3 linked regions of the Oryctolagus cuniculus genome follow. The protein of the gene in region 2 interacts with the protein of the main gene of each other region in a pairwise test. Links are inferred from orthologs where the notes say so. Each region holds a gene or a part of one and is shown on either strand. Other genes may lie near its edges. The genes, in order: HNRNPUL1, DZIP3 and ZCCHC10.

Evidence for each region.
Region 1: the proteins of DZIP3 (region 2) and HNRNPUL1 interact in binary tests that used the Homo sapiens proteins (3 or more experiments, as listed by UniProt). The link is inferred for Oryctolagus cuniculus from reciprocal best matches to the Homo sapiens genes DZIP3 and HNRNPUL1.
Region 3: the proteins of DZIP3 (region 2) and ZCCHC10 interact in binary tests that used the Homo sapiens proteins (3 or more experiments, as listed by UniProt). The link is inferred for Oryctolagus cuniculus from reciprocal best matches to the Homo sapiens genes DZIP3 and ZCCHC10.

The regions. Positions count from the first base shown.
Region 1 is NC_091449.1:13,344,526-13,350,982, forward strand, and holds the start of HNRNPUL1 (heterogeneous nuclear ribonucleoprotein U-like protein 1), read right to left. Parts: upstream 3,590-6,457; 5' UTR 3,264-3,589; coding exon 2,969-3,263; exon of another isoform or gene 2,736-2,968; intron 2,711-2,735; exon of another isoform or gene 2,498-2,710; intron 1-2,497.
Region 2 is NC_091435.1:64,353,222-64,359,607, forward strand, and holds the start of DZIP3 (E3 ubiquitin-protein ligase DZIP3), read left to right. Parts: upstream 1-2,193; 5' UTR 2,194-2,333; exon of another isoform or gene 2,334-2,577; intron 2,578-6,386. Other genes in the region: protein CIP2A, read right to left, coding at 1,757-1,858. UniProt on the Homo sapiens protein: E3 Ubiquitin ligase proteins mediate ubiquitination and subsequent proteasomal degradation of target proteins.
Region 3 is NC_091437.1:21,522,878-21,529,324, forward strand, and holds the start of ZCCHC10 (zinc finger CCHC domain-containing protein 10), read right to left. Parts: upstream 3,544-6,447; 5' UTR 3,541-3,543; coding exon 3,311-3,540; intron 1-3,310.

The sequences.
Region 1 (6,457 bases), on a different chromosome or scaffold from region 2:
AGCTTTTCAAATAAATAAATCTAAAAACAAAACAAAACAAAACACCATACACACACAAATGCACAGAAGTTTAACTATGATTGTGTTAAGTGTTATCAAGAGGCTGGCGCCGCGGCTCACTAGGCTAATCCTCCGCCTTGCGGCGCCGGCACACCAGGTTCTAGTCCCGGTTGGGGCGCCGGATTCTGTCCCGGTTTCCCCTCTTCCAGGCCAGCTCTCTGCTGTGGCCAGGGAGTGCAGTGGAGGATGGCCCAAGTGCTTGGGCCCTGCACCCCATGGGAGACCAGGAGAAGCACCTGGCTCCTGCCATCGGATCAGCGTGGTGCGCTGGCCACAGCACGCCGGCCGCGGCAGCCATTGGAGGGTGAACCAATGGCAAAGGAAGACCTTTCTCTCTGTCTCTCTCACTGTCCACTCTGCCTGTCAAAAAAAAAAAAAAAAAAAAAAAAAAAAAAAAAAAATTAAAAAAGAAAAAGAAAAAAAAGAAAGGGTTATCAAGAAATATCAGGAGCTAAAAAAGAAAAGGGACCTGAGAAATAACAGCCAAGGTTTGGCTCCAAGGTCACAGGAACGAAGATTCAGGGATGAGAATGGAGAATATTGCCGGGGTTGGGATACCGCACAGGAAAGCTCAGAGGTGGGACTGAAACCAGACCTTCCCCCTAACCCAGACACTCTCTCAAGGGGCAGAACCTTGCAGGCAAACCTGAGAGGGCTTTGGAGACTGAGTGAGCACCAGCGAGCAGCTCACCGGCTCTCGGCCCCAGGGGCCGCTCTCTGCTGGGTGCCTCCCGAGTCCTCCTCACGGCTGTGCCAGCAGCAGTGAGGCAGAACCACGGGGAAGCAGAGCCTATCCTGCCACTTGTTGACTGACTGGATGCTTTCTCAGAGGACAAACACATCTGGGCACAAACCTGGTGCGGCCCAAAGGGAGAAAAGTCTCAGGTCACGTGGTGCCTTACAGGTCTGTTTACCAAGGCTGAGGGAGGGTCGCAGGGGTGTGGAGGGCACTCAAAGGACTCTGGTGCAGAGGGCAGGGCGAGAGGAAGAGAGGGAACGTCATCTTCCCTGGGATGTGAGGTCCTCTCAGCCCAGCTGCTTCCTCCAGGCGCTAGGCAGTGTGTGCCCCAGAGCCTCAAGCCTCTCTAAGCATCCCTCTGGGCCCGGAGCAGCCTGCCCAGGGAGCCAAGATGCTGGGGTGCCTCTCCATCCCCTAAACGCCGCTTTCCTCATCAGCAGGCGGACCTGGGGAGAGGCCCTTCACGCGTGACTTCATTCTTAACAACCCTGTAACCCCATTTTACACACAAGGAAACCAGACGCACGGAGATGAAGCACCCTGCCCGAGTCACGGAGCCGAACCTGAAACAGTCTAGAGGCTGCGTGCCGAGGCATCCAACCACCCTGCTCTCCCGGAACTCTGCCCCACTGGGGGCTCCCACTCTACAGACAAGCTCGCCGGGCCACTTCTTCCTTCCCAGGTCTCTGCCACGCCACGCACGCTGCCAGCACCTGGGTCCTGGACAGTCACTGGGCTGTTCTCCACTCCAAATTTACACGCAGGCTGCCACATCTCTCGTGAACGAGGACCCAGTGCCAACCCCAAGTCTCCTCCATGGCCCCATTTCTCCTCTCACCTTCTCCCCCCAGCCCCAGGGTGCCCTTTCCACAGACCCCCCAGAAGCCCTGGACACCACAGTCCTTCCCCCTTAACCTCTCTTCCTCCCATCTTTGCAGTCCCAGTGCTGAAAAAAAGTCGCCCTCTGCTAACTCCAGACTCACTCTCTGCCATGCCAGGTCTCTGCTCCTCAAACAGCTGCAGGCCTACCCTAATCCCTCCACTCCCACACTCACTCCTATTGGCTGATGCAGATACTCCCTGGGCACGCAAGTAACTGCTTCTGGGGACCAAGGAACCCTCACCGGGAGATGCTGAGCCCCACCTCTCCCCCCAACAACACCCCGAGGCCCCCGGGGACCAAGTCAACAGGCTTGCCTTCTCCTTCCATTACTCACTCACTCCCCCTCCCCCATCTTCCCAGACAGCTACACACTCCCGTGCTGGACACAAGGATCCCCTGTCCCTCGGTTACTTCACCAAATTCAAGCACTACCAGCTTGCTCTCTGCGCCCGTCCTATCCCGGCTGCCCCGTTCACCAGGACCATTCAGCACAGCCACTGAGTTCCGGCCCGGAGAGCTTGCCCAGTCCCAGGCTCCCGGGTCCTTTGTCCAGGGAAGCATCTTTCCTGCCCCCACGAGCTTCAGGACACCAAGGCTCCTGGTGCCGCCTCTGGCAGTCAACCACAAGGTCCCCGGATCGCCCAGCACCCAGTGCCCAAGGTGCGCCTGCCTCTCGGCTGGCCTCCCAGCCTGGAAGAGAGGTGGGTCCCCCCGTGGAACAAGCTGGTCTCCCACATCCCCTCACGGCTCTCCGGCCAACACCAGAGCACCCAGTCCACCGCACAGACACCAGTGCCTCCATCTCATCAACCCACCTCAGGACCCTATCAGCCGCTCCGGCCAGGACCCCGGCCTCTCCGTCCCGAAGCTGGAAACGCGGCTCCTAACGCCCAGCCCACCCTGCTGCAAACCCCAGGATCACCATTTCCAAGCCTCTCCCCAAGCCCCTAAATAGAAAACCTCTTTTTCTTCCGACTCCGTTCGGTTCCAAAAACCACGGTTTCCGGTCTCCGAGCCCTAAGGTCCAGAACCCTCCCCATTCCCTGGACCCACCTCTTTTCCGACACCGACAGCGCCCACCCCCAGCTTCTCCCCCGCGCCGAATGCCAGAATCCACCCGCCGGCCGTCCCGAGGCCCCGGTCCCCAGATCCTTCGCGGCGGCCGATCGCAGGACCCCCCGATCCTCACAGCAAGTCCCCGACCTCGGGCGCCGGACTCCCGCGTCCCACAGCCCTATCTTGGCCCAGACTCCAGGCTCCCCGGCCCCCGCCCCGCGCACTCTCACAATGTCCGTCCGGCCCCGAGTAGCCGCCGGGCTCCGGGTGCGGCTGCAGCCCGGGCGGCGGTGGCTGCGCGGTCCCCTCCAGCTCGGAGCCCCCCTCGGTCTCGACCTCCTCGTTGTTGTGCCCAGGTCGCCCCGGTTCGTCGTCGGCCTCGAGCTCCCGCTCGTCGTCGGGCTCCTCGGCCTCCAGCGCAGCCTGCAGCCGGTCAGCAAGCTCGGCCTTAAGGCCGCGAGTGTCCAGGCCGCGGCGCTGCAGCTCCTCGCGAAGTTCGTTCACCTTCAGACGGCGTACATCCATGGCCCGGGCCCCCGGGGCGGCCCCCGAGCCCGGCCCGGCCTCCCAGGGCTCTGTCCCCCTTAAACCTCTCCTGTCAGGAGGCGAAGGGGGAAAGGGGGGGGGGCTACTCCAATGGCGGCGGCGGCTCAAAATGGCCGCCGCCGCCGCCACCTCCCCCTCCCAGTGCGCCGTACGATGCAACACGGGTGTCAATTGGCCAGCGCGCGGGGGCAACGGGCGCGGGCCCGGAGACTCAGCCAGTTAGAGCACAGTTTTCAAAATAACGACAGTGAGAGGGCCTACGAGCAGCCAGGGAGGAAGCGTTGGCCTACGTCGAAGACGCGGCCCAAGCGGAGGGCGGGAAAAGGCAGAAGGCGGAGCGCCAGCTGATTGGATGGCGCCCGCGCGCCCGCTGCTGTAAGGTCGAATGAGAAAAGGGGAGTAACGATTTAGTCCAATCAACCTTGGGCTCTCAAAATGAGCGCCCCCCCCCCCCCGCCTTTCCTGCGAAGTCCTTTCATCGAGCTAAGTGTCTTTGCAACACACATTCTGATTTGTCTACATCTCCCGCCCCTTGAGGAGTACGAGCGGGTAAAGTCACTAGAACCAATCAAAACGAGGGTCGGTAGAAACCCCTCCTTCCTGTTGCCTTTAAGAAACCGGAAAGAGAAAAATTCACGAAGGACCCGCCCCTTGCCGTTAGGGCGGTTTCAAAACAATCTGTCCACCAATTGCATTTATTGTCTCATCTCACTGAGGGCCGGTAGAGATGGGTCGCTTGAGGAAAAGCTAACAGGATTGGCCGTTTTTCAGAGGCTTGCCTCACAAATTTCGCCGTAGAGGGAGGCATATGGAGTAGATATTAAACAGATATATTATTCATAATCTGGAACTCGGCTGTTTTATTATTACTTTTTTAATGAAAAACGGAACTTTGGCGAGTCCTGCAGGTTTGATACTAGAGGCTAGGCCAGCGACGAGAGAAAAGTTGTCAAGGAAACCGCGTGTCCATCCCCTGGCCAGCTCGCCTCGCGGGGCCTCTGTCCGCGACCGCAGCCTCGCGGAGGCCGTGGAGCCGCCCCTCTCCGGGTAGAGCCCCGCACTGAGCGGCTGTCCCCTCCCCGACCCTCTGCATGGCTGTCCGGGGCACCTGGCCGACGGGCTCAGAGACGCGGATCGGGCCTCCCGCTAATAAACACGGACGCCCGAGTTCCCCGGCGTCTAACGCCGCGCCACCTGTCGCCTCTAACTCAAACGGACAAACCCGGAGTCAGACACACAGCCGAGGCACGCAAGGCCCACACCCGCCACACTCCAGCGGAGCAGACAAAGGCGCGCGCCGCGCAGATACACCCCCAGGCTCGGGTCGGATCAGGTGCAGCACACCGGCAGCGCAGGTGTGCCCGCGAAGCTCCGCGCGGCCGGGCGGCCCCACACCGCACCGACCCAGCGGACAGTGCCACTGCAGCCACCCGGACACGCAGCACCCACTCCGCGGCGGGACAGACACTCACGTGGGCCCGGAGGTTCCAGTCCAGACACCCCGCCCCTCGCCCACGTCCGACTTCCTCTCTCCTCCCAGCCTTGCACAACGATTTGTTCTAAAAAAGTTTGTGGCCCGGATTGAACCGTCCCGGCTTCTCGGGAGCCGCCACCGGGGGGCGTCCGGGCGCTGCCAGGGGCTCCTCGGTCCGCTCCCGGACACACCCTGGACTGCGCGCCCAGGGCAGCGAGCGGACTCCCCTGGTGGACCCGGGACTACCGGAGGGGTTCTGTGCCCGCGTTTCTCTTCCTGGACTGTGGGTACCTGTTCTGCTCCGTGTCTCAGGATTTCTATCACTTTGGATCTGTTGCTCAAGTTTCTTCCTCTTCCCGCTGGGTGTCTGCCTGATTGTGTGTGTTTGGCCTCGATGTACAGTGTTCATTTAGACCTCTCTAGGGAGGAGACTTTCGTAGACCCCACCACACCCTTCCTGGTACTGACAGAGAAACTGAATGGCTGGGGAGAGGGGCCGCATCGCAGCTGAATGCAGATGAGAGGAGACACAAAGAAGATTACGAAGTTTTATGTGCTCTCAGCTCCTCCGGAGGCACCAGAGACCACACTTGTACACCGGCGATAAGGGACTGGCTCATGGGGGCAGCATGACCCAAAAGTAGGGAGCCGCCCATCCCCCGGGGTGGTGGGGAAGGAGGCATCCCTAATGCATTGCACAGGCTTGGGGGGAGGAGGAAGCGAAGGCAGTGCCTAAGAAGGGGAGGGGCACATAGAGGAACCCTATCAGGTTAGAACCCTGGAATCGTACCTAATACTCTAGGCTGTGGACCCTGAGAACTGAGAACACGCAGTCTTTTAACTGCAGTACCTAGAACCTTCAGATTTACAAATGTGGATTCTTGGGTCCTTCACATGATCCTAGGAAGGCAGAGTGCACATAGAACCTGGAGGTGTCCAATGTTAGGAACGATTAGAACTTTGGAGTCTAGTTAGTCATGGCTACCGGTGAGAGTCCTGCATGCAGAATCTTGGACCAACAGACCCTAGAGTGCCCTGAAACACAGGCTAGACCGGCATCAGGATCTCAGGGATTAACATCCAGACTCCTGGAGCATATGATCTAGAATCTTAGATTCCGAGACTAAGTCTTAGGATGTCACATCTTAGGACATGAGACCACAGAACGTCCATCTTTAGACTCTTAGAACTTCTGAGTTGCAGATTCTAGAATCCTGGATCATCTATGACCTCAGAGTCCATTAGGATATCAAACCTTGAGGAGACAATGTTTTGAAGCCTTCGTGTCCAGACTCTTATGGTTAAAGGATTTAGATCTGAGAGCCTTAGAATGTCAGCTTTTAGAAATATAGGCCTTAGGACCTCCATGTCTAGAATTACAGAATCTACATTCTTACATACATACCATTAGAAAAGCAAAATCTAGAGCTTTAGAACCTAAAATCTTGGGGTCTTATCAAGAATCTTAGAACCAGAAAATCTAGAACCACACAATCTCACAGCCTTAGAACTTCCTTGCTGAGAACTTGAGCACTTTTGAGTTAGAGACGTTGGAATTTCAGGTCCTTAGAACCAAGAACTCGTAGTATCTCTGAAACCCAGAACCTCGGCATCGAGACTCCTTAACCCTTAGAGTCCCGAGTCTCGGAATGCAAAGGCCTGGGAGTACCTTGAGAGACTGCAGTCGAACCCCTTCCTC
Region 2 (6,386 bases):
GGTATCCTTCTTTCATTCCCTCATCCACATGCCAGTTTTCCTTCTAAAGTCTTGCTGAAAAAAAGTTTCCCATTCTGTTTTTTAAAGGAATACATGTCAACACTATTGTTAAATGAAAGCCTATAAGACAGGAAAAATAAATCCAAGTATGAAATATCTGGTAACAGATATTTTGAGCAATATTCTTTTTCCTATTTATAAATCTGGCCCTCCAGAAGATTCAGACATTTTCTACATGAAACATGCTTCTCCCCAGGATCGGACCTATGGCTCAGTAACATCCGAGCCAGCATTATGGTGTAACGGGTTAGCCACCACCTGCGATGCTGGCATCCTATATGGGTGCTGGCTGCTCCACTTCCAATACCGATCCCTGTTAATGTGCCTGGGAAAGCAGTAGAAGATGCCCCAGGTACTTGGGTCTTTGCCACCCACATGGGAGACAGAAGCTGCTGGCTCAGCCCTGGCTGTGGCGGCAATTTGAGGAGTGAACCAGCAGACCTCATGTCAGACCTGTTTTTTTTTTTTTTTTTTTAATATTTATTTATTTGAAAAGCAGAGTTAAAGAGAGTGAGAGACAGAGATAAAAGATCTTTTGGTAAAGAAAATAGATTATGATTACTAGTAAGGAATATACAGCCTCTGTGGGAAACAGAAAAGCAGTTTCTCAAAATTTAAAAATAGAACTACCATATTATCCAGCAATCCCACTACTGGACATACATCAAAGGAAAATGAAATCACTCTGTAGAACATTAACTTGCATTTCCATGTTTATGGAGCACTATTCACAGTAGTCAGGAAATGTCTTCCCATTGATGAATGAAAAAAAAATAAAGTGGTACATAAACACAACAGGACAACAGGATACTATTGCTCAGCCATTAAAAAAAGAATTGCTATCATTCCTAACAACAACTGGAACTGGAAGTCATTATGTTGAGTGAAATAAGGCAAACACAGAAAAGTATCGCATGATCTCACATAATTGGAGCCTAAATAAAGGTGATCTTATGTAAAAAATACAATGGTGGTTAACAGTGCCTGGGGAAAGACTAATTAATAGGCCACAAGGTACAGGTAGACAGCAGTAAGTAGTTCTGGAGTCCTACTTTCCAGAAGGGTGACTATAGATAATATACTGTACATGTCTCTATTAAAAAACTACAGATAGGATTTTGAATGTTTTCACTCTAAAGAAGTGCTAAATGTTTGAGGATATTATTATTTACTCTGCTTGAACACTGAACAATGAACACATGTACCAAAGTATTACATGGTACCCCATAGATATGTACAATTGTTATACGCCTGCTATAAAAAGTTTACATAACTTAAAGACACAGCTGAGGGTCATTTTAAAGTCCGAGTTCTTTTAACAAATTATCAAATCGTTAACTCCTTGCCACATCTGCCCCGAAAACAGCTGTATACACTGTGCGAGCTTGGCTGCAGTGTGAAAACGAAAACCGGGGAGCAAAGGAATATTAGACAAGCTCTGAGCTTTCTCCTTTTCCTAACCGAAACACAGCCAGCATCTCCAACGTTTTGCCCCATCTTTAACCTTCAGAAAGCTCACATTCCTCTCGTTTAAGCGAGCTGCACGCCAACAGTCGCCTTTAGCAGTACTAAGCGATACCTAGAAAGTACCGAGGGTCTTCTTTCCCAGGCTGGGGGCCCACTCCCAGAACACACGGTGAACTAAGGATTAGTAACCAGGGACGCCCCATTTCCCCCCCACCCCAAGGCGTCTCACCTCCAAGTGCCGCAAGAGCTGGGTAGCGTTCGCCTCTGACTTAACGGCTTTATACTGACCGATGGTCAGGAGCAAGGACTTCAAGCAGGCGGTAGAATCCATGGAGACAGGCCTTGGTCCTTGCAGCCTTGCAGAAGATCCACCACTACCCTGACAGCTCCCGGCTCCGGCGTTCGCCGCGCTTTATTTGATTTTCGGCACCGCCCACCCACCCTGTTCCCGGAAGCTTCCGGTTCCGGTCAGGCTCCGGAAGTGCCCAGCCACTCGCGGTTGATGGGCGTGGTGCGTGTGGCTAGAGGTGCTCTATGAATCTGTGAAGGGGCTTGGGAACCTCTCCCTCCTATCCCCTACTTGTCCAAGAGTCCGCGAGGTTTCAATGTGAGATCCCGTGAAGGCGAAAAATCTCGCGAGAAATGTGACTGTGGATCGATCTGTGGAGGGGCGGTTAAGCGCAAGGGGGTGTGCATCTGCGCCCGGAATGTCGTGAGCGATCTCGGTCTTGCTAATGGATGGCCGGTTTTTGCTTTTTGCGTCATCCTCTACCAGAGAAATGATCGCTGTCCTCTATCTAGACACGGTGAGGAACTCGGGAGGAGAAGAGTTTCGGTGACTTGGGTTTTGAGGCGGGCTGCAGAGGCCTCTGTGTCTCAGGCGTCCGTCCCTTCTGCCCAGGTGTGGTGGTTTCCTCGTACGTTCTTTGCGGCTGTGAGGCAAGTTAATCGCGCCCTCACGACGGTAATCTGGCTCTGGAGAAAGCCACCCCCGGGGGGGATTCCTGGGCCAGGTGATACTCCGAAGGTGTTCGCACTAGCGTCACTTTTGTAAGTTGAGGTGTTTTTCTGTTTGGCTTGATTGTTTGTTTATAAATGTCAGTGGCTACGAAATTGGCATTCTTTGCGGTTTTTATCAGCCATATTACGATGCATGTGTATCTGAATGAAAAGTCCGTATCTGGTTCTGCAGTTAAAGGGCTAATGACGAATAAAGCTTTAAAAACCGGGTTGTAGAAAATTGTGAGAATAGGCTACATGTCCCTTTAATTAAGTCGTTAATTAGAAATCGTGTTTTGTCAATTCAGAGGACTTTTTTTTGCTTGACAATTTTTTTTATGTATTGGTTTCTGATTCGAGAGATCATATAAATAGTTCTGTTTCTCACTGTGTGTGTGTATTATCTAGCCTGACTCATAATTGTACAATAAGCTTATACAGTCAGTATGGCACTGGAAAGAACAAAAAATTTACAGCTCGTGAAATCTGGGCAGGAATTCCTACAACTACTGACTTACCAGCTTACAAGAACTCTCTAGGCCTCAGGTTCTTAATTCTTAAAACTGATTGCAGAGATGTTTATCTTTCCAAGTTTTGTGAAGATTAGTATACATAGATACATAACATAGATCCTGGGACATCAGAGCTGATGAAAAGTAATCTTATTTTCAAGCTTTATGTAACCAGCTAATTTTATATGAAAGAAAACTTCATACCAAAGGCTTGATGTTCTTTCTCGCTTAAACCTTTCTTAAAGTTTATATCTTTCTAAGTTATCAGAGCAGCCAGTTCACTTGCATAGTTGGAGGAGGCTGAAGGTGCTTTGTCATTGGTGGTGGGGTATCCAAGTACATAAAAAAAGTGTCCTCCATTCTCTGGTTGATGGTCATCTCTACAGATGCCATGTTTCAAAATTCTCCTTTCATAATTATGGTCCAACAGTGGTAATGGCAATATAACATTTTTGAGTTGCTGAAAATATTCCACTTGGGAAGAATGTACTTAGGGGCAGCATATGCCATTCTTGTGGTTCCTAGCTACATTTATAAACAATATGATTTTAGCAGTGCTACCTTTAAATACCTGAATCTGCTGACAAATTTAGTATCTGGATGCATTTTCAACTAACTCCTAAACTTTCATATTCATTGCAAGTGCATTCCTAACATTGAAAACAAATGATTAATCCTGTAAGTTTGCTGGGTAAGTCCAGAAGTAACTGAATGGATTCTCAAAAAAACCTTAAAATCCTGCTTTTACTAAGATGCTGATTTTGCTTTAGGGATCATGTATTGGCAGGTTTATAACAAGGGGGCAATCAGTATACATTGTCAGATTTCTTGCTTCCTGGTTTAAGCTGCCAGATAGTACAAACAATATTTACATAGTGGCAAAGTGCTAAGATGCACATTGTTTTTGTTTTTTTTTGGGGGGGGCAGAGGGCAGGGCAGGAAATATCTTCAGCTTCTGATAACTTTTGCAAAGATTTTACAGTCATCATTCATCAGCCCTAGAGTTTACCCTAGGAACCAATATATTCTTTGGGACCCAATAATGTTTTGGCCTTTTATGTCTAGATATGCTGATTTTATGACCTTACCAGGAAGTTATACAAATTCAAAAAAACAAAGAACTGAATATGCCTCATTTTCAAATTCTGTCTTGAAATCCTAACTCTCGGTATAATGGTATCAGGATACGGACCTTGGAAAGTAAATCAGTTTATAAAGGTGATCCTCATGAGGGGGAAAATACAAAGGACCCTAGAAAGCTCTCAGCCTCCTCTGCCACATGCTGATAAGAAGTGAACATCCCAGAAGAGATCCTGCTGACTCTGCTGGCACCTTAATGTCAGATTTCCAGCCTCCAGAACTGTGAGAAAGATATTTCTGTTGTTTATACTTTGTTACAGCAGCCCCAGTAACTAAGATAACCCCTTATACCACTTCAAAATGATTGTCTATCAGAAATAATCCGATGAACCATAGTTACAATTTTGGTTCTAGGGAACTCCATCACAAAGTCTCTTGACATATTCCCAGAGGCATTTTGTTCATTTTTTTAAGTCTTGAAATGATCATAGCATCTAATATCTCCACTTACAGGAAGCTTTGGGATTCTTATGGTAAAACAAAAGAAGTGTTTACTAGTAGTGTCAAAGTTTGCTTGATAACATGTAGAAACTTCTAGTTCAATGTTGATGTTTAATTCTATGCTGATGTAAATTTAGCTTTTAAAAACAGCTATCGAGATGTTACCAAGTTTTATTTTCAAGGTTGTTATTGCAGCATTGTTTGCAGTAGCAAAAAAAAATTAAGAGGCAAATCTGGGCATAATAAAATTTATACAATGGCATATCCTATAGTTTAAATACTACGGTAAATATATATATGTGCTGATGTGAAAAGCTTAGTGCCATTTGTTTCATGTGTGATGTATGTGAGAAATAGCTTTTGTCCCATTTCTTATTATTTATTTGAGAGGTAGAGTTACAGATAGTGAGAAGGAGAGACAGAGAGAAAGGGCTTCCATCCGTTGGTTCATTCCCCAAATGGCCGCAATGGCTGGAGCTACACCGATCTGAAGCCAGGAGCCAGGTGCGTCTTCCCTGTCTCCCATGTAGGTGCAGGGGCCCATGGACGTGGGCCATTCTCTACTGCTTTCCCAGGTCACAGCCGAGAGCCGGATAAGAAATGGAGCAGCTGGGACTGGAACCGGCGCCATATGGGATGCTGGCACCCCAGACAGAGGATTAACCTACTGCGCCATGGCACCAGCCTCATCCCATTTCTTAAGTTTAGTTGTTACTCCTTTTCATACAGTTGCATTTCTTCATCATGTATAGAAATAGGGGATAATGAATGAATTTGTTCAAAACCTAAAGGTTAAATGATGCTGAGGAGGAGGAAGATGGTTTTGATAGGAACATTTATGTAATGTTTACTATGTGCAGGATACTATTCTATGCTGTGTTTTAAGCATTCTGTCTTCACAACAACCTTATAAATTAGATATCTCATTATCTCCAGTATTCAGATAAAGAAACAGACACAGAGAATGTTAATTTCACTTAAGGTCATAGAACTAGTGTGTATCACAGCAGGCCCATATACCTTTGCAGAGTGATTCCAGAGTTTTTATGCTGTTACCAACAGTACCATGCAGTCTTTCAACTTACTTTTGACAGTAATGTACAATTTAATACTTTATCCCTTTTAGTATTTTTTTGTTCTAGTTAATACTATTTATTGAACTCTGTAATTAACACACATTTATTCTTAGGTGTTGAATTTAACTGAAAAGTGATCCCTGTTAAATATAAGAGTGGAAATAAGAGAGGGAGGAGATGTACAATTTGGGACATGCTCAATCGGACTTGCCCCAAATGGTGGAGTTAGAAACATGCCAGGGGATTCCAATACAATCCCATCAAGGTGGCATGTACCAATGCCATCTCACTAGTCCAAGTGATCAATTTCAGTTCACAATTGATCACACTGATAGGTCTAAGAGTCAAAGGGATCACACAAACAAGACTAGTGTCTGCTAATACTAACTGATAGAATCAAAAAGGGAGAGAACGATGCAACATGGGAAGTGGGATACACAGCAGACTCATAGAATGGCAGATGTCCCAAACAGCACTTTTTAGGAGAGTTTTTTGAAATAGTTAAATAGGGAGCTATATGAATAAGTATATATACACTAATGGTACTCTAGTCAGCATTTTCAACATCCATTGATATTTGAAACTGTTTAATAATTCTTTATATCCCGTGTCTTCTATTTTATAGAGAAATAAAATTATAACATCTTGGGAGAAAGTGGCTACATGGTATTTTTAGACTGAAAGGAAACAA
Region 3 (6,447 bases), on a different chromosome or scaffold from region 2:
TCTGCCTGTCAAAAAAATTTCATTCAATCACTAAATAATGGGGAATCAGTAATGGTTGAAATGAGAATTCAAACATCACTCCAATACGGGCAATCACACTAAAATGAATTGACAAATGCTGGTTAGTAGACAAGGCAATAACTGAATATATCACAGTTCTAAGGGCAAATATCTGCAGTGTTAGCAATGTCCTACAACCACAGATTTGTAAAATAGCTCAAAGACAATGAAAAGAGCAGACTTTCATAGAGTCTCATAGCCAGGAAGGGTGGACTACACAGGATACCTACTAATCTTTTTTCTTCCATTTCAAAGCCTTCCACAATTCTTCCTAACAATGAAAATACTGGGGGAAGGAAAGTCTCTTGCAATCAGTTAAACAGTCATCTTTTCTAAGCTCACAAGTTGTTTTTCCAGTATTAACAAACTATTGGCTTGGGATCCTAGTCATTAAAATATCACCAGACATTGAGGAATTCACTTTTTGTTATAAATAAAACTTTCACACATATCCAAAGTACATCTATAATTAATATTTTATTTTTATGCTCTAAACACTAATAAACTACCTCTAAAATACTAATTTTGGGGCCAGTTTTGTGATGTAGCATGTTAAGCCACCACCTGTGATGTGGGCATCTCAGATGAGTTTTGGTTTGAGCCCCAGTTGCTCACTTCCAATTCAGCTCCCTGCTAATGCGACCAAAAAAGCAGTGGAAGGTGGTCCAAGTAGCTGGGCTCCTACCACCAACATGGCCAGACTTGAAAGTTTTTAGCTCCTGGCTTTAGCATGGCCCAGCTTTTACAGCCATCTGGGAAGTTAATCAGAAGATGGAAGATTCCTCTCTCTAATTCTGCCTTTCAAATAAACAAATTAATGTCTTAAAAAAAAAATTAATCTTTCGGGGCTGGTGCTGTGGTGCAGTGGGTTAAAGCCCCGGCCTCAAGCACCAGCATCCCATATGGGCACCGGTTCTAGTCCTGGCTGCTACGCTTCTGATCCAGCTCTCTGCTATGGCCTTGGGAAAGCAGTGGAAGATGGCCCAAGTCCTTGGATCTCTGCACCCTTGTGGGAGACCCAGAGGAGGCTCCTGGCTCCTGGCTTCGGATCGGCTCAGCTCCAGCCAATGCAGCCATTTGGAGAGTGAACCAGCAGATCAAAGACTCTCTCTCTCTTCATCTCTACCTCTCTCTGTAACTCTGTATTTCAAACAAATAAAAATAAATCTTTTTAAAAAATTCATCTTTCATATAGATTGCTAATTTATGCTTTCAAAATAAGCCTCCACCTGTGATGCTGGCATCCCACATGGGCACCGGTTTGTGTCCTGGCTGCTCTTCTGAAGTAGAGGATGGCTCAAGTGCTTAGCACCCTGCACCCACATCAGAGACCTGGTTCTTCAAGAAGCTCCTGGCTCCTGGCTTTGGATAGGCCCAGCTCCAGGTATTGTGGCCTCTTGGGGAGTGAACCAGAGGACAGAAGACCTCTCTCTCTGTCTCCCCCAAGATCTCTCTGCCTTTCAAATAAATAAATCTTTAAAGGAAAAAAAAAAAAAAAAGAATGACAACAGACCTTTCTCAGTTCTCATAACTTAAATACAATTTTAAACATATTATTATAAAAGTCATATATGCTCCTTATAAACAAAATTAACATTTTTTGACTAACATAATATGAAAATAAAATGAAAAGCAAAGACTCCTCTCCTCTCCCCCAAATACATCCCTAAAATTCTTTTGCACGTCCCTAACCTCAAAATAATCTTCCTTTCCTGAATCCCTGGGGGTATTACAATCTGTACACCACAACAACTTATATTATACCTCTTCCCAACAAGACCACAAGCTGCTCGAGCTCTGATCTGCCTTTTACTTCCAATGTACCTCATGGACCAAACACACACACTATACAAAGAAAACATTTAACTTTCTGATACTTGTGAATGAGCACTACTACGGATTTTGATTAGTCAGCATTCATCTACCTTTGACCCGTCCACCCAGATCATCCATTCATGGTCATCCATTCCACTAGGCTGGGAGAGGAGACCTCTGAGTCAATTGTAACTTCAAAATCCCACAGGTGTGCCAAGGCAGTCAGGTCACTGAAGTGCAGCCAGCTCCAAGCTGAGAGGATATAAGGGACCCTGGCATACTGCATTAGGAAGAAAACAGAGTCTGTTCCAGTCTGGAGCCAACATCCAGGAAAGCAAACCTGAGCAACAGAGGCAGAAGCAGAGAGGCAGAGACGGAGACCTAATGACATCAGTTAGCACTGAGCCTCCTTTCACCACCAAGCTGACTACTCTGACTCCCTGAGTCTTTATCATATTCAGGGAACTCTCATCGGGCCTGAAAAGGGAGAAACATAAAAAACATAAACATATATACGTTAATGGACTCTGAGCTATGCACTATAGGTGTGCAAAACGATGATGGTGTGAAACACTGAGAATGAAGAAGTAGCAGATGTGTTGGTAGGAAAGAAGGTTTTGCAGGAAAAGGGCCTCCGAGATGACCCCTGCATTGTCGGCTCACGGCAAACCTCTGGCGCCGCTGTCCTGCTAGCTCCTTAGGCACACTGGCCATCTTTCTGCTCTTGAGAAGTAAATTCTTTCTGGCCTCCAAGCAGTTTTGCCACTGTCTGGATGTTCTTTCCACACATCGTCTCAGGACCGGCTGCTTTCTCCCCATGGCCATCTCTGATCAAATGTCGCCTCTTTCCACCACCAAACCTCGTGTCCGTCAAAGCTGACCAAACTAGAGACCGTCCCCATCACCGGAGCGTGAGCTCCCGAAGCAGGGGCTCCATCGGAATGAAACACCTCTTCGTTATGCCCAAGCTCTGGCGCCGAGCCCAGGGACTACATATTTACTCAGGGAGAGACCGGCAGTAACTGAGAAGTAGCTGCTGGTTGAGTCCAGGGACGGCGATGGGAAGGGGGCAGCGAAAGACAGCTGGCCGGGAGGCTGCCGAGGGAGCTGCAGTTTACCTCCGCGGGAGCGGAGGGGTCCGACCCGGCTTCCCTTGCCCACGCGCCGTGCGGGCAGAACGGCCTAACCCACGGAGTGACCAACCCCCGCGTGCTGCCTTCTTGTTCCACGACCCCGCAAGTCTCTGGTCACCAAACTTATCGCCCGGGCCGAGCCCCGCGGACGCTGGCAATGTGTCTGAGCAACAGCCATCCTCGGCCGCTCCTCGGAGGGGGTCCGACGCCCAGCCGCGCACCCCTGCGCCGGCTCAGCCGCCGGCTGACGCGCGTCTCCCCGCCCCCAGCCCGTCCGGGAGCCCGAGAGGGCCCCCACTTACGCTTGTCTCCGGGCTATGAGCCGATGCATGGGAGTCGCCATCTTAGCGCGGCCGAGGCCTGCCGCGCTGAGTTTTGGGAAACTCCTCGCAGGGGGCGTGGACTTGGACCCGGCGGCCGCGGCGTGGGCGGGGCCTCCGGGCGGCTTCTGGGCGGGGCCTGCGGGCGGCCTCTCTGAGGAGGCCGAGGGCCGGAGGCGGGTGCGTGCGGACGCCGCTGTGGGTCCGTCCATGGGGCTGAGCGAGGTTTGCAAGGACGGTGACGGGGAAGCACATTCCCGAAAAGGAAAAGTATGTATTTTTAAGATTCGTGTGTATAGGTATCCCCCACACGCAGAGATACTGAATGAAACTACTGTGTACCGGAAAGCAGAAGTCTGGAGAATAAAATAGTGAGCGGGCCCTGGATCCGAGAGAATGGGTTTAGCACATCCTCAAGTGAAAATGGTGTTAACTGTTCATTGTTTAATATATTCACAGCAATGTTATAAGGACCAAAGCTGCTTTGGCAACCAGAAAAAGACCATCGCAAATATTACTTTAGAAAATTGTAGCTATACCTATTTGTAGTATCGACTCATGGAAATGTTCTCCCAAGTCCACAATCTTTTCTATATATATATATATATATATATATACACTCTTCATATGTATAATTACTCCAAAAAGTTAGTGAAAATGGCATTAAAAGAAAAATGTACATTTCCCACCAACTTTTCTGAAATCCTGCTGTATATATTCTTGTCTGTTTCTAGGTCACCCATTTGTATTTTTCAATTAATAATTATTTAGTAAAGTGTTTAGGAGCTTGAGATGCTGTGTTGTTCAAGTTTAGACCCTTGGGCACATGGAACTTTCTACAGATAATAAACAAAATCTGCTATGATTAGGGTGTTTTCCCCCGATAATTCATGTGTTACAAATTTAACCACCAGGGCCAGAGCTGTGGTGTGTCAAATAAAGCATCCGCCTGCAATGCCGTCATCCCATATCTGCACAGATTCAGGTCCCACCTGCTCCACTTCTGATCCAGCTTCCTGCTAATGTGCCTGGGAAAGCAGCAGAAGATGGCCCACATGCCAGGGCCCCTGCACCCACAGAGGAGGCAGCTCTTGGCAGGAGGCTCCTGGCCTCTGTCTAGCTCTGCCCTGGCCTGGTGCAAACACTTAGGGAATGATCTGACAGATAGATGTCTCTGTCTCTTCTGCCTCCCTGACCTTCAAATAAAGAAATAAATCTGAAAAAAAAAAAAAAAAGAAATTTAATCCCTAAAGTCATATATCAGTAATATTTGGTAGGTGATTAGGTAACGGAGATTCTGCCCTCATGAATAAATGAATCTATTTTCAGATTAATGGATTAATTTGGTTATTGAAAGAGTAGTTTCGTTATGAAAGTGAGTTCTCTTTGCCGTGCTTACTTGGTCTTGCAATATGATGTCCTCTACTGTATTATGATGCATTTAGAGTGAACCAGTGGCTAGGTTTACCCTTTGGCTGGCTGTCTCTGTCTTCCTCTGTACTTCTTTGTTTCTCTGCCTCTCAAGTAATCTTTTTAAAAAGGAAAGAAAAGGAATCCCAAATAAAGGAGTAAAGTGATTAATTTTGAGAGTTAGAGAAGGTAATGATGTCAGCTTTGAGTACAGCTTGTTCTTTAAAGAATGGATTATTGGGCGTTGTGCCACAGCAAGCTAAACTGCAGCCTGCCATACCGGCACCCCATGTTGGAGAACCAGTTTGAGTCCCTACTGTTCCTTTTTTTTTAAGATTTATTTATCCTATTTGAAAATCAGTTACAGAGAGGGAGAGAAAGAGGGATCTTCCATCTGCTGGTTCACACCCCAGATGACCGCACAGCCAGGGCTGGGCCAGGTCAAAGCCAGGAGCTTCTTCCAGGTCTCCCACGTGGATTGCAGAGTCCCAAACACTTAGCCATCTTCTCGTGCTTTCCCAGGCCATTAGCAGGGAAATGGATCAGCAGTGGAGCAGCTGGGACATGAATCAGCTCCCATATGGGATGCTGGCGTCGTAGGCAGCAGCTGAGCCTGCTATGCCACAACACCAGCCCCTGTTCTAGTTTCCATACAGCTCCTTGCCAATGTGCCTGGGAAAGCAGCAGAAGGTAGGTCAGTTACCTGGGCTCATGCTATCCATGTGAAAAGCCCTGATGGAGCTCCGAGCTCCTGGATTGTGCTGGTCCAGCTCTGGCCATTGCAGCCATTTGGGAAGTGATCCAGCAGGGAATCTCTCTCACTGTTTCCTTCAAATAAATAAAGTCTTTTAAAAAGGGATTTGTTTTTCTGTTCTTTAGTTTGCTGTTTTTTTATTCCCCTGTGTATTTATGGGTATATTTTCACATCTGAAAACATACAGATCTAATTTATTCTTTTTGTATATTATATGATAGGATATTCCACAGTTTATCCAATCAGAACCCTATTGTTGAACAATTAAGTCAGCACAAAAGATTTTAAAGCACTCAATGAAGGCTTTTTGTTAAGATCCTTAAAATGGAATTGCTGAGTCAAAGAATATACACACTTAAGATTTTGATAACCCTTCAAATAGGCTGTACACTGGAGTGGATGGTTGACACAATTAAAATCCCTCTTGGGATGCCTGTATCTCATATTGAGGTGCCTGGGTTCAAGTCCTAGTTCCATTTTAGATTCCAATTCCCTCCTTTTTCCTACACTGGGATGCAGCAGGTGATGGCTCAAGTGGGTCCCTGCCGTCCACGTGGGAGACCCTGATTGAGTTCTAGGCTCCTGGCTGTGGCCTAGTCCCAGCACTAGCTGTGTGAGCATTTGGGGAGTGGGCCACTCCTTCTCTCCCTCTCTCTGTGGACTTTCAAATAAAAAATAAATATAAATTTAAAAGATTGTAAACAAGCTTGCTTTGTCACCAGATTTCAGAATGGTCAGTTGTTTAAATTTGTATATTTAGTAAACCAATGTGATATATTACTGATGAGGTTAAGTAATTTCCTCATCGTCCTTGTTAAATTAATCTGATTTGGTCTGAGAGTGACTACATACCTTCAGTCCCAACATCAGGAACTAAAACCTAGTGTGGTAGGTAAAGCAGCTGAAGGCCTGAATTAGGAATATGCTCTCATAACAGATACCTGAATCTCAGCCA